Linked DNA regions of Arabidopsis thaliana. Each later gene encodes a partner of the first gene's protein in a complex. Each region holds a gene or a part of one and is shown on either strand. Other genes may lie near its edges.

Region 1 (5,805 bases):
ATCAAACTTTCTAAAGATACAAATCCGAAAACTTAATCTTAGGCTATTATGACCTAAAATTAATCTCCAATTGAAATCTTTAGAAATTATTGAAAGAAAAACTGAAAAAGAAACTAAAGCAATCGGTAAGAACAACCGATCGAACGGCGGAGGAAGGATAAAAGCCGGCCAAAACCGCTTGTAAAAGCCGGATTTGCCAGAAGAGGACCGGCCATCTTTGCTAACAAAGCCAAAATTAATCTCCTTCATATCTTTTAGAGAGAGGAACTGTTGAATTCTGTCGACCGGATTATTCTGGTAAACTGCCGTCCCAAGTTTTGCCGACCATGTTTATGACAATGATATGACATTAATATATATCCCCACAAATAAGCTTAATTTTTTCTTATCCTATTATAGTTTCAGAAACTATATTGTCCACAAAAATCTTCTTGTTCTATTTTTTTTATTCCCATTAAAATCATACAGCGATGAAATGATTGGCGATGGAAAAAAAAACAAAGGGACAACTAAAAATAATACTACAAAAGACAAAATAATACTTAATACACGTCTAAATTAGCAATTGACGTCGCTAACCATGTTTTGCCATAATTACCAATTTTCGAAACGATAAACATGGAGTATTCTCAGAACATAATCAGACCAAAACAAGTGAAAAACAATAGCCATTGATTCAAACCAAAATGAGTTTCACTTCACACAATAAGTAAACAAAAGGCGAAGACATTGTAATGATACCGTTGTAAAAGTAAGTCGACAAAACAGATGAGAAACTAAACCCTAACACTTATGAGTAATCTCTCAGTTACGGTACCTGCTTCCACGTTCGCGACCGTAGTCTCTGTCTCTGTCCCGATCATGGTCATAGTCATAGTCACGCTCCTTGCCTCTTTCCCTCTCTCGGCTTCTGCTTCTGCGTCTATCCTTATCGTAGTGATGATCTCTACCACGGTCTCTTTGCCTGTCTCTGCTTCTCTCTCTTCCATCTTTATCAATACCTGCCACATTCATATAAATTATGAACAACTACATTGGATCATGACCTTTCTATTTTTGGGGAAGCAGCAATAAACATTCTTTTCTATCTTCCTCTATATCTATTCAGTGAAAAGAAGAAAACTCTAACAAGGAACAACACTGTTTATTGGAGATCCCCACTAGGCTTGGGCTATAGGCAAGTTAGCTGCAAGCTTAATGTAAAATTTCAAACAAATCCCTCCCCGCATATATGTTAAGTTTCACTCAAGTGTCTAGATGACAAGCAGAAACTTTCTTTGAAGACTATACACAGAGAGTAGATATAGATCGAGCCAAATAAATCTCTATTATAGTGGAAAGGTTCTGTTCATAAGCTCAACCTATTTGATGATTGCATAGATTTAGTTCATATTAGTTAAAATTAAACAGAACTTACCTAGTTCCTCGACTTCCCACCCAGCACGACCAGCAGCAACAGCAGGTCTGGTGTCAGCTTGGTTTGTTTTAACACGGTACTTCTTCTTTAGATTCCCAAACTCATCATACATTTCACCATCATCCTGAAATATATTAGACGTATAAGTCAAATGGAATATACAAAAAACTGAGAGCTCATCCGAATTGCAACAAAAAAACAAAAAACAAAGAACTCTTCAGGAAAAGCATATCTTACTTCTTCAGCCTCACGCCTGCGTCTCTTCGTTTCCTCTAATTCTTGTTCATCTAATTCCTTGTAACCACCACCACGGCCTCCCCTATTTAGAGAAAAAAAAATGAATAAGCACTGGTCTAGATAAAAACAACCTTCCAAACTCAAACCTTAATGTTTCTTAATGCAACTCTAATTTGGCCAAAATAAAACATTACAAGTGGGATAAATCAATTGTCGAAGAAAACAAGCACTCGTTCAAATTGCAGAAGAGAGTATTGAGACTTTTTCCCAGGTATCTATTAGGCCCTGTCTAAAAGCAGAATAAATATACCCTGCTGACAACAAAACTACAAACATCGAACAGAAAATCTACGACCTCTCCTACATTCACTGTAAAATCATTTATAATCCAAATCCTCAGCTCGAACATTGCAAGATAACAATACAAAGGCAATCTTATCACTGGCTTTGAGTCATACCTCACACCACCTTCATTCTGACCAGGTTTATTGGTGTTGCAGATATTACATTTTAGACGTTTCGCCCAGTTGACATTGCCACACCTGAAAGAATTAGCGCAAAAAGAAAAAGTGCATTATGCATAAGAACTCACATTCACACAGTGCAGCCTCTTAGTTAAGCTACTCGATGACACATAGCATAACTTGCAATTAAACTAAAACATAGTCCATTTTTTGTATCAGACACAGAAAATTGAAGGCAGCCTATCTTCACAAATATAACTTCTTAGAAGGATCAAGACTACAACCTACCCACGTTTCAAATTACATTTTTCAGATTAACAGCCATCTGAAGGAAAATTACGAAATTAGAATCAACATTCAAAAAAGAAGGAAAAAATATGTGCCTCCACACATAATTTGGACCAGTTTAAGAGACACAGCACAGCAGAGCGGGCCATCACTTCTTTCTAAGTAAAGAGTCAACTGACATCATCAAAAGCATTGATATACAAGCTATATTCCTTCCATACATAAGACAAATTAATTTTATATCCAGCAACGCTATATGCCATCTGAATGTTCTCTTTTGCTACTGAATATAAATTGTTTCTTGCGATGTGTTTTAATCAAGTACCAAACGCTCATTATCCTCTGAAACTGAACTAACTATTTCAAACCTAATCGGAATGCTTACATTGGACAAGCCCAATCATTTGGACCAAAGAGACCAGTAGGAGCACCACTGGGCTGCTTCCCCGGGGCCCCACCATCAGCGCCTCCACCTCGACCCCTTCCACGACCAGCACCCATGCTGCCACCAGATGCACCAGCTGGTCTAGCAGTTCCACAGCGGTTACAAACCCCACGGAATGCAAAATTCACATTTGTACAACTGCCAATGAAAGAGTATGAGAACACTACTGCTAGAAACTATAAAATATATAAAAACTAGCAAATTAACGGAAACAAGAGCTAGATGAAGCTCCTCACCGATATCACATCACAGACCTTGTATTAGGGCACATCCAGTCACCATCTTGCTGCCATGGCTTTGCCGAAGAATCAGCCTGACCCCTCCCCCTTCCAGCACCTCCATTTGTTTCCTCAGCACCTCCATCGAATTCAACAAACTCAACTGCATCACCAGCATTTTTATTCTTCGACTCGGCCATAAAAACTCCAATGGTGTTTCCATGAAAATCTTTGTTATTGAACCATTCAACAGCAGCCAAAGCAGCATGCGGATCCTCATAGGTAACAGTAGCATCTCCCTTGGGCTCATCAGTTTCTTTATCCCGGTACAGCCATACCTTAGGAGTACCAGTTCGTTTGTCTCTCTAAAAGCAATGTAGAAAAAAATGTAAGAAACTCGAAAATCTAGTGACCTATAAAAGATTGCAATGACGTCAAAACAAAAGCAACAATTAGTACCTGGCCAATACCATACCTTAAGCAACCCAATGGTCCCAAAATAGTCAGCCAACATATTCTCGTCAGTTCCTAAGGGGAGATTTGAAACGTAGACTGATCCATTAGTAGGATATCCAGCCATCGTAATCCAATTTCATCAAAAAGAAAGCCGCCAAGAATCTGTAAATGACAATACCAAAACTTCACTTAGCCAACATTGAAACCTCGCTAAGAAATAACATCGAGACATTGAAACCCCAAAGTTTTGAGCTCAAAAACCATGAGAACAAAAAGAAGATTCGAAATCTGACCAACGAGATAGGGAAACATAGAAGAGCGAGATAGATAGAAATCTGACCAGCGATGAGGATTCAGCGGCGAAGGAGAGGTCGTCGGACTAGGGTTTCTTTCTAAAGTGCGTCGAGTGAGAGAGAGAGAGAGAGATCTTGCGAATAAAGATTTTCTTAAGGGTAACCTCGATAGTCGATTGTTTGTTTGGTGGTTATATTTGCAATTTCATATAACTTTCCCCCTTAAATTGTAATTTTGTTTTTTTATTTTTTTCGTGGTTAAGGAATTCTTTTTTTGGGTGCAAATTGAGGAATTATTAATTTACAAATTAGATGAGTACCCGCACTACGTGCGGGTTTACGTATTACTATTTACTAATTGTTTTATATAATGTCTGTTTATATAAAGTAAAGTTGAATGCATAGGTTTTGAAACATAAATATGTTTTGTAATTGTTTTTGAAAAGTCCAACTATATTAGTTCATCTGAAAAACGAATGTGCTTGAGTTGTTTTTTATTGTTGTTTTAGATTCTTAGTTTTTTTTTGAATTTATATATCCTTGCTTTTTTAGTTATATGTATAGATTGTGAGACAGTGAAATTTTAGAAAAATTATTTCTTACACTAAAAATATAACATGTCTTTATTAATCATGTCTTTGCATATTCAATCTAAGCATATTCAACTCGATATTCTTAGAAAGTTTAGTTAAGTTCTTGTCATAATCTTATATCTTACGTATTAGTTATAAGGATAGCTCCTCAAATATCTTTCAAATTACCTGTTTTCTTAGCATAAATATCGAAAAGCTTAGATATATTTAATCTGCATATTCATTTAGTTTCTTTCATAATAATCGTCTAATTTTTAGGCCAGGAATATGTGTAACATGTTTGGATTTTATCATCACTTTAGCCACTTAAGTGGATCTCAAAATTAAAGAGGATATATTGAATTAAAAATGTAGAAAGAGTGATGGTTCAAGTTCTCATTAATTATATTCTCCTATTTTAGTTGTTATGTTGAATTAATTACTAATTATGTATTACTTATTTTATGAAGTCTAGGTGGCAAGCTCTCATGTGCTTATGTGTCAAGTTGTGGGAGAGAGTTAGTCTTCTTTCATATATATGATTTGTGTTTCAATGTTGAATCTATTTATAGCCAATAATATCTAATACTACTAATATTATACTACCAAAGTATTGGTCAATAAAAAAAAATACATTTGCATCTAACATATATTGACTAAATTAATAATTAAAAAAGTATTGACTCATACTACAGTAAAATATTTATATAATGCTATCTATTTTGTAAAGTTACTAGCATAAGCTTGTCATTTTTTAAAATCTGTCACTACTAATTTTACTATGACTAGGTAATCACCCGCGCTACGCTGCGGTATTTTTAAATTTTTTGTATCGTTTAATTTAAATATAATTTTTAATTATCTAATCATTTACTTATATAATAAGTAATTATTCTTAATATTAAAATATATTTTTTCTAACAACATTCTCAACAATGCATTATACACACAATTCCTAAACAATGTTCGTCTTAAACTAATTAAATAGAAGGTAATATTGGGATTCTCGAAACCTAAGAATTTGATGATTAAACTTCTTACATACTCTTCACCCTCGGCGATTTATTATATAGATATATAACAATATGCAAACTATTCAAACTATTAATTAATCCATGACTACTATACACTCATAATTTGAGTTAAGATTACAGAAAAAAATCTTTTGAGTATGAGAAAATCAATCAAATTATTTTATTGAAAAACATTTAATAACAAAATAAATTTAGTATTAGTACAATTAAATATGTAAAATTAAATAATAAATACATCATTAATCTATAAATTAAAAGTTGAAGAGCTTACATTAATTATTCAGTGGATACATGGCAAATGTTAAAGTGATGATGTGTCAATCATATGGAGAGAGTTGGCTAACTTTCATATATATAATTAGTAGATTAAAAACTCACTAA
Region 2 (4,611 bases), on another chromosome or scaffold:
AAGTAACGACAATCGCCAGCGACCAGCGACCGCAATTTTTGGTCGCTGAAATTTTTAGCGATCAGTCGCTGATTTCAGCGATTAGTCGCTGGTTTTAGTCGCTGGATCCAACGACATGCAAACGAACAATTTAGCGATCAAAAAATATAAATTAAAGAATAATTAAAAATAATTAAATTAAACAGAATTAAATTAAATTAAACTTAAAATAAATGTCTTTTTGCACTCTGAACGGTTGTGTCTTTTAATCGCAACTTTCCGTAAAAAATATTGATGGTTGTTTTTTCTCGCTTGTGTCTTTTATTGCAACCTTCCTATATTGTAATTTTCTGTCAAAATATTTACAGTTATTTTTTCCGGTTAGTTATATATATACTATTGAATAACTACGAAATTTAGAATATGCATCATTTGGAGTTAGATTTGTTTTAAAGAAATTATTATATAAATAAATTTATAATATTTTTCTCTGCGATATCAAGAAAGGTTTGAGTTCTAGTTTAATTAAAATAATTCTTATTAAATTAAGTTAAAATAAATTAAATTCAAATAACATAAACTAATTATAGTCAAATTAAATTTGATAAAACTAAAATAAATAAATCTATTAATTTATTTTTCTCATGGTGTATGATATATATGATTTACATTTTGATTTTAAAATATAAATTAGTACCAAAAATAATTAATTTTAAAAAAAAATATAGCGACTGTTTATAGCGACAGTCAAACGAACAACACAACGACAATTATTAGCGATTGTTGATGTAATTGGTCGCTGAGTCCAGCGACAGACAATCGAACAATATATGTTGTCGCTGGTTGCTGTCGCTGGTCGTTGGTCGCTGTCGCTGGATCCAGCGACAGGAAAACGAACAGGGCATAGGTTTTGTTTGTTTTATTTAGTATTTCTAACGTAAATTTTAAAAAAGCGCCAAAATCTAGAAGAAGAGTAATATGCGAGAAAATCACTTTTACTCTTATTTATTTACTTGTCTTGCCAAATTTCCATCAAAATTATTAATTACTTAATTATATAATTTTTGACTAATTATTTACTTTATTGGACCCGGGATATGTAACTAAATGGGCTTTTATTGGGCTGTATTCTGTGGACCATTAATAAACATAATCTTTGAAGTGCAAAAAAAAAAATGGGACCCGGGACAACTAAATCAGAATCGGGGCGGGTTATAAACTTTTCCCTATAAATTACCACTCCGATGTTAATACCCGCCTCTTTGATCCCTCAGACGATTTCTTCTTTCCGTTGTATCTTCCAATCACCCGATTGAGCTCCGCTTCACTTCCTCCGGCTAAATGTGTACATACTCTCAATTAGGAAACCGCCAATCCCACATAACGTTGAATGTCGTCGTCTCGGTTAGATATCAACGAGGGTTTTGTTCTTGGTTCCTTACTAAACAACAAAATTTGACGAAAATTGGTACTTGGGTATGAACGTTGTTATTCCCTAATTGTACCGGAAAATTTGATGGTGGTATGTTTCCCTTGTAGGTTTTCGTTGAGTCGTGGATTTGTTCTTGCTCCTGATTCTTTTCAGTAGTTCCTTTGCTATTTGGGAAGCAAAATTGTCACGCCACTCTTTGCATTCGAGGGTTTTATTATGTCTGAGTCCAACGACAACGAGACTTCCGCAGGTTATATTTGCAGTTTCTTACATGGTTTCTTCATTAGTGTATTGCATTCTCCTAGTTTTGCTCTAGTCATAATCTACTTATTGTGGGATAATTTATTGCTCAGCGTTTTGAGTTAATTAAATAGAAGGTTTTTATGTTTGAGATTTTGATATACGCAACAAGTCCCACCCATAGCAGTTACAAACTGAAACTATTTGCCACTACCAATTCCCGGTCATCAGCTTCACTGACTTGTGATGATATGTCGTGTAGATTATGGGAGCAATGATGAAGAGTATGATGGGCCTGAGCTTCAAGTAGTTACTGAGGAAGATCACCTACTACCAAAAAGAGAGTACTTATCAGCTGCATTTGCTTTGAGTGGTTTAAATTCCAGAGCTTCTGTGTTTGACGACGAAGATTATGATGAACAAGGAGGACAAGAGAAGGAACATGTACCAGTTGAGAAATCTTTTGATTCAGAAGAGAGGGAACCAGGTTTGCTTTTGAAATTTCCGTTTCTTGAACAAAACGATTAGCACACTCTATTCTCTACTTTTGTTTTGTCATTTCATTAATCTCAGATTGGTTTAGTTTTCTCAACACTTATACTTGTTTAGCTCGGGAAAATAATCTCTTGTTAAGTTGGAGTCCAGTGCGTCATAAATACTAGAGATCAGAACTCTTGGAACTTTTCTTAGATTCCTTTTGTGTTAGTGATTATGAGACACTAAACATTATTTTCGCAGTTGTCTTGAAGGAGGAAAAGCCCGTAAAGCATGAAAAGGAGGCTAGCATCTTGGGAAATAAGAATCAGATGGACACAGGAGATGTCCAGGAGGTCAGCAAGAATGATTTCGGTGTCTCAGATAACATCTTTTTTTGTTGTGGAATGATTTTGTTCTGTTAGTGATCTCATTGAAACGTTCAGGAGTTGGTGGTTGGATTATCAGAAGCTACTTTGGATGAGAAACGTGTCACCCCGCTGCCTACGTTATATCTTGAAGATGATGGTATGGTCATCTTACAATTCTCTGAGATATTTGCTATACAAGAGCCACAGAAGAAACGGCAGAAGAGAGAAATTAGATGTATCACTTATAGAGGTATGTGATCTGCAACGGCTTCCTAATTTTGTTTATTCTCAAAAGCCTTTGAATTTTTTGTGCTTTCCATTGGGATGTTAAAATCTACAACAACAATGATTTCTCAAGATTTTCAGTATCTCCCGTTCAATTCTAAAAGCCATTAGGTGTCGAAAGCATGAGAAGTTTTTTGTATGTGGCTCTGTCTTTTCTTGGCAAGAATTTAGTAGATATGTATATTTGGTGCTTCTGAAATGATATACATTATTTTCTCTGTTTCTCTCGTTATCTCTCTGCATTGTTCTTTTCTGTTTGTAATTCATCACTTCTTTTAATGTAACTAGAATAGCTGAGAAAGTTCTATGAAAACAATTATCATATGAGACTCTTACATCATAGCCTTCTTTGGTACAGACAAATACATATCTATGGATATTTCTGAGCTTATCGAAGACGATGAGGAGGTACTCCTGAAGAGCCATGGTAGGATTGACACTCATGGGAAAAAAACTGATCAAATTCAGCTGGATGTTCCCTTACCAATCAGAGAGCGTTCACAGCTGGTAAAATCTGGCATAGTAAGGGATACTACATCAGAATCGAGAGAGTTTACCAAGCTAGGAAGGGATTCATGTATCATGGGTGAACTGTTGAAGCAGGACTTAAAAGACGATAATTCATCTCTCTGTCAGTCTCAATTAACAATGGAAGTTTTCCCTCTAGACCAGCAAGAATGGGAACATCTAATACTCTGGGAAATTTCTCCTCAATTTAGTGCTAATTGTTGTGAGGGCTTCAAATCTGGACTTGAGTCAGCAGGTATAATGGTACAGGTGAGGGCTTCAAATTCAGTGACTGAACAAGAAAGCTTAAATGTGATGAACTCTGGAGGGCAAACTCAAGGGGACAATAACAACATGCTCGAGCCTTTTTTTGTAAATCCGTTGGAGTCTTTTGGCTCAAGAGGTTCCCAGTCTACAAATGAGTCCACTAACAAAAGTAGACATCATCCACAACTCCTTAGATTAGAATCTCAGTGGGATGAGGATCATTATAGGGAAAATGGCGATGCTGGACGGGAGAATTTAAAGCAGCTTAATAGTGACGCTCGTGGGCGCTTGAGTGGACTTGCATTGCAAGATAGGGATATGTGGGATGAGTCATGGTTAGATAGCATAATATGGGAGTCAGATAAAGATTTGAGCAGGTCTAAACTAATATTTGATCTTCAAGATGAGCAAATGATCTTTGAAGTTCCGAACAATAAGGAAAGAAAATATCTTCAACTTCATGCTGGATCTAGGATTGTATCTCGATCTTCAAAATCCAAGGACGGATCCTTTCAAGAAGGCTGTGGATCAAATTCTGGGTGGCAATTCAATATTTCTAATGACAAATTCTATATGAATGGGAAAAGCGCTCAGAAACTGCAAGGAAATGCTAAGAAATCTACCGTACACAGTTTGAGAGTTTTCCATTCGGCACCAGCGATTAAATTGCAGACGATGAAGATCAAATTGAGCAAGTAAGTGAGTCATTTGAATTTTTACATCTTATTGTATTTGTACGCTTCATTGTTACATTCGTGTGTGGTCTCAATGTTGCCACTGGATATATTTTTTAAATACATTTTTTTAGTGGTTTATGTTAAAAAGTTTTGATTTAACTCATTGCAGTAAAGAGAGAGCAAATTTTCACCGGCCCAAAGCTCTGTGGTATCCACATGACAATGAGCTAGCCATAAAGCAGCAAAAAATTTTACCCACCCAAGGTTCCATGACAATTGTTGTTAAGAGTCTGGGGGGTAAAGGATCACTGCTAACCGTCGGCAGAGAGGAATCTGTCTCTTCTTTAAAAGCCAAGGCTTCTAGAAAGCTAGGTTGTTT

Evidence for each region. The genes of interacting proteins can lie anywhere in the genome.
Region 2: TAF15 (region 1) and HAF2 share a complex: the UniProt entries of both Arabidopsis thaliana proteins name them as parts of the TFIID complex.

The regions. Positions count from the first base shown.
Region 1 is NC_003070.9:18,628,014-18,633,818, forward strand, and holds TAF15 (TBP-associated factor 15), read right to left. Parts: upstream 4,027-5,805; 5' UTR 3,866-4,026; intron 3,688-3,865; 5' UTR 3,650-3,687; coding exon 3,545-3,649; exon of another isoform or gene 3,529-3,544; intron 3,435-3,528; coding exon 3,106-3,434; intron 2,990-3,105; coding exon 2,792-2,989; intron 2,197-2,791; coding exon 2,113-2,196; intron 1,737-2,112; coding exon 1,655-1,736; intron 1,542-1,654; coding exon 1,418-1,541; intron 1,002-1,417; coding exon 805-1,001; 3' UTR 542-804; downstream 1-541. Other genes in the region: AT1G50290 (uncharacterized protein), read right to left, coding at 1-249. UniProt on the Arabidopsis thaliana protein: TAFs are components of the transcription factor IID (TFIID) complex that is essential for mediating regulation of RNA polymerase transcription.
Region 2 is NC_003074.8:6,572,569-6,577,179, reverse strand, and holds the start of HAF2 (histone acetyltransferase of the TAFII250 family 2), read left to right. Parts: upstream 1-1,566; 5' UTR 1,567-1,627; coding exon 1,628-1,661; intron 1,662-1,897; coding exon of another isoform or gene 1,898-1,913; coding exon 1,914-2,138; intron 2,139-2,389; coding exon 2,390-2,481; intron 2,482-2,571; coding exon 2,572-2,746; intron 2,747-3,139; coding exon 3,140-4,250; intron 4,251-4,401; coding exon 4,402-4,604; intron 4,605-4,611. UniProt on the Arabidopsis thaliana protein: TAFs are components of the transcription factor IID (TFIID) complex that is essential for mediating regulation of RNA polymerase transcription. Core scaffold of the TFIID complex.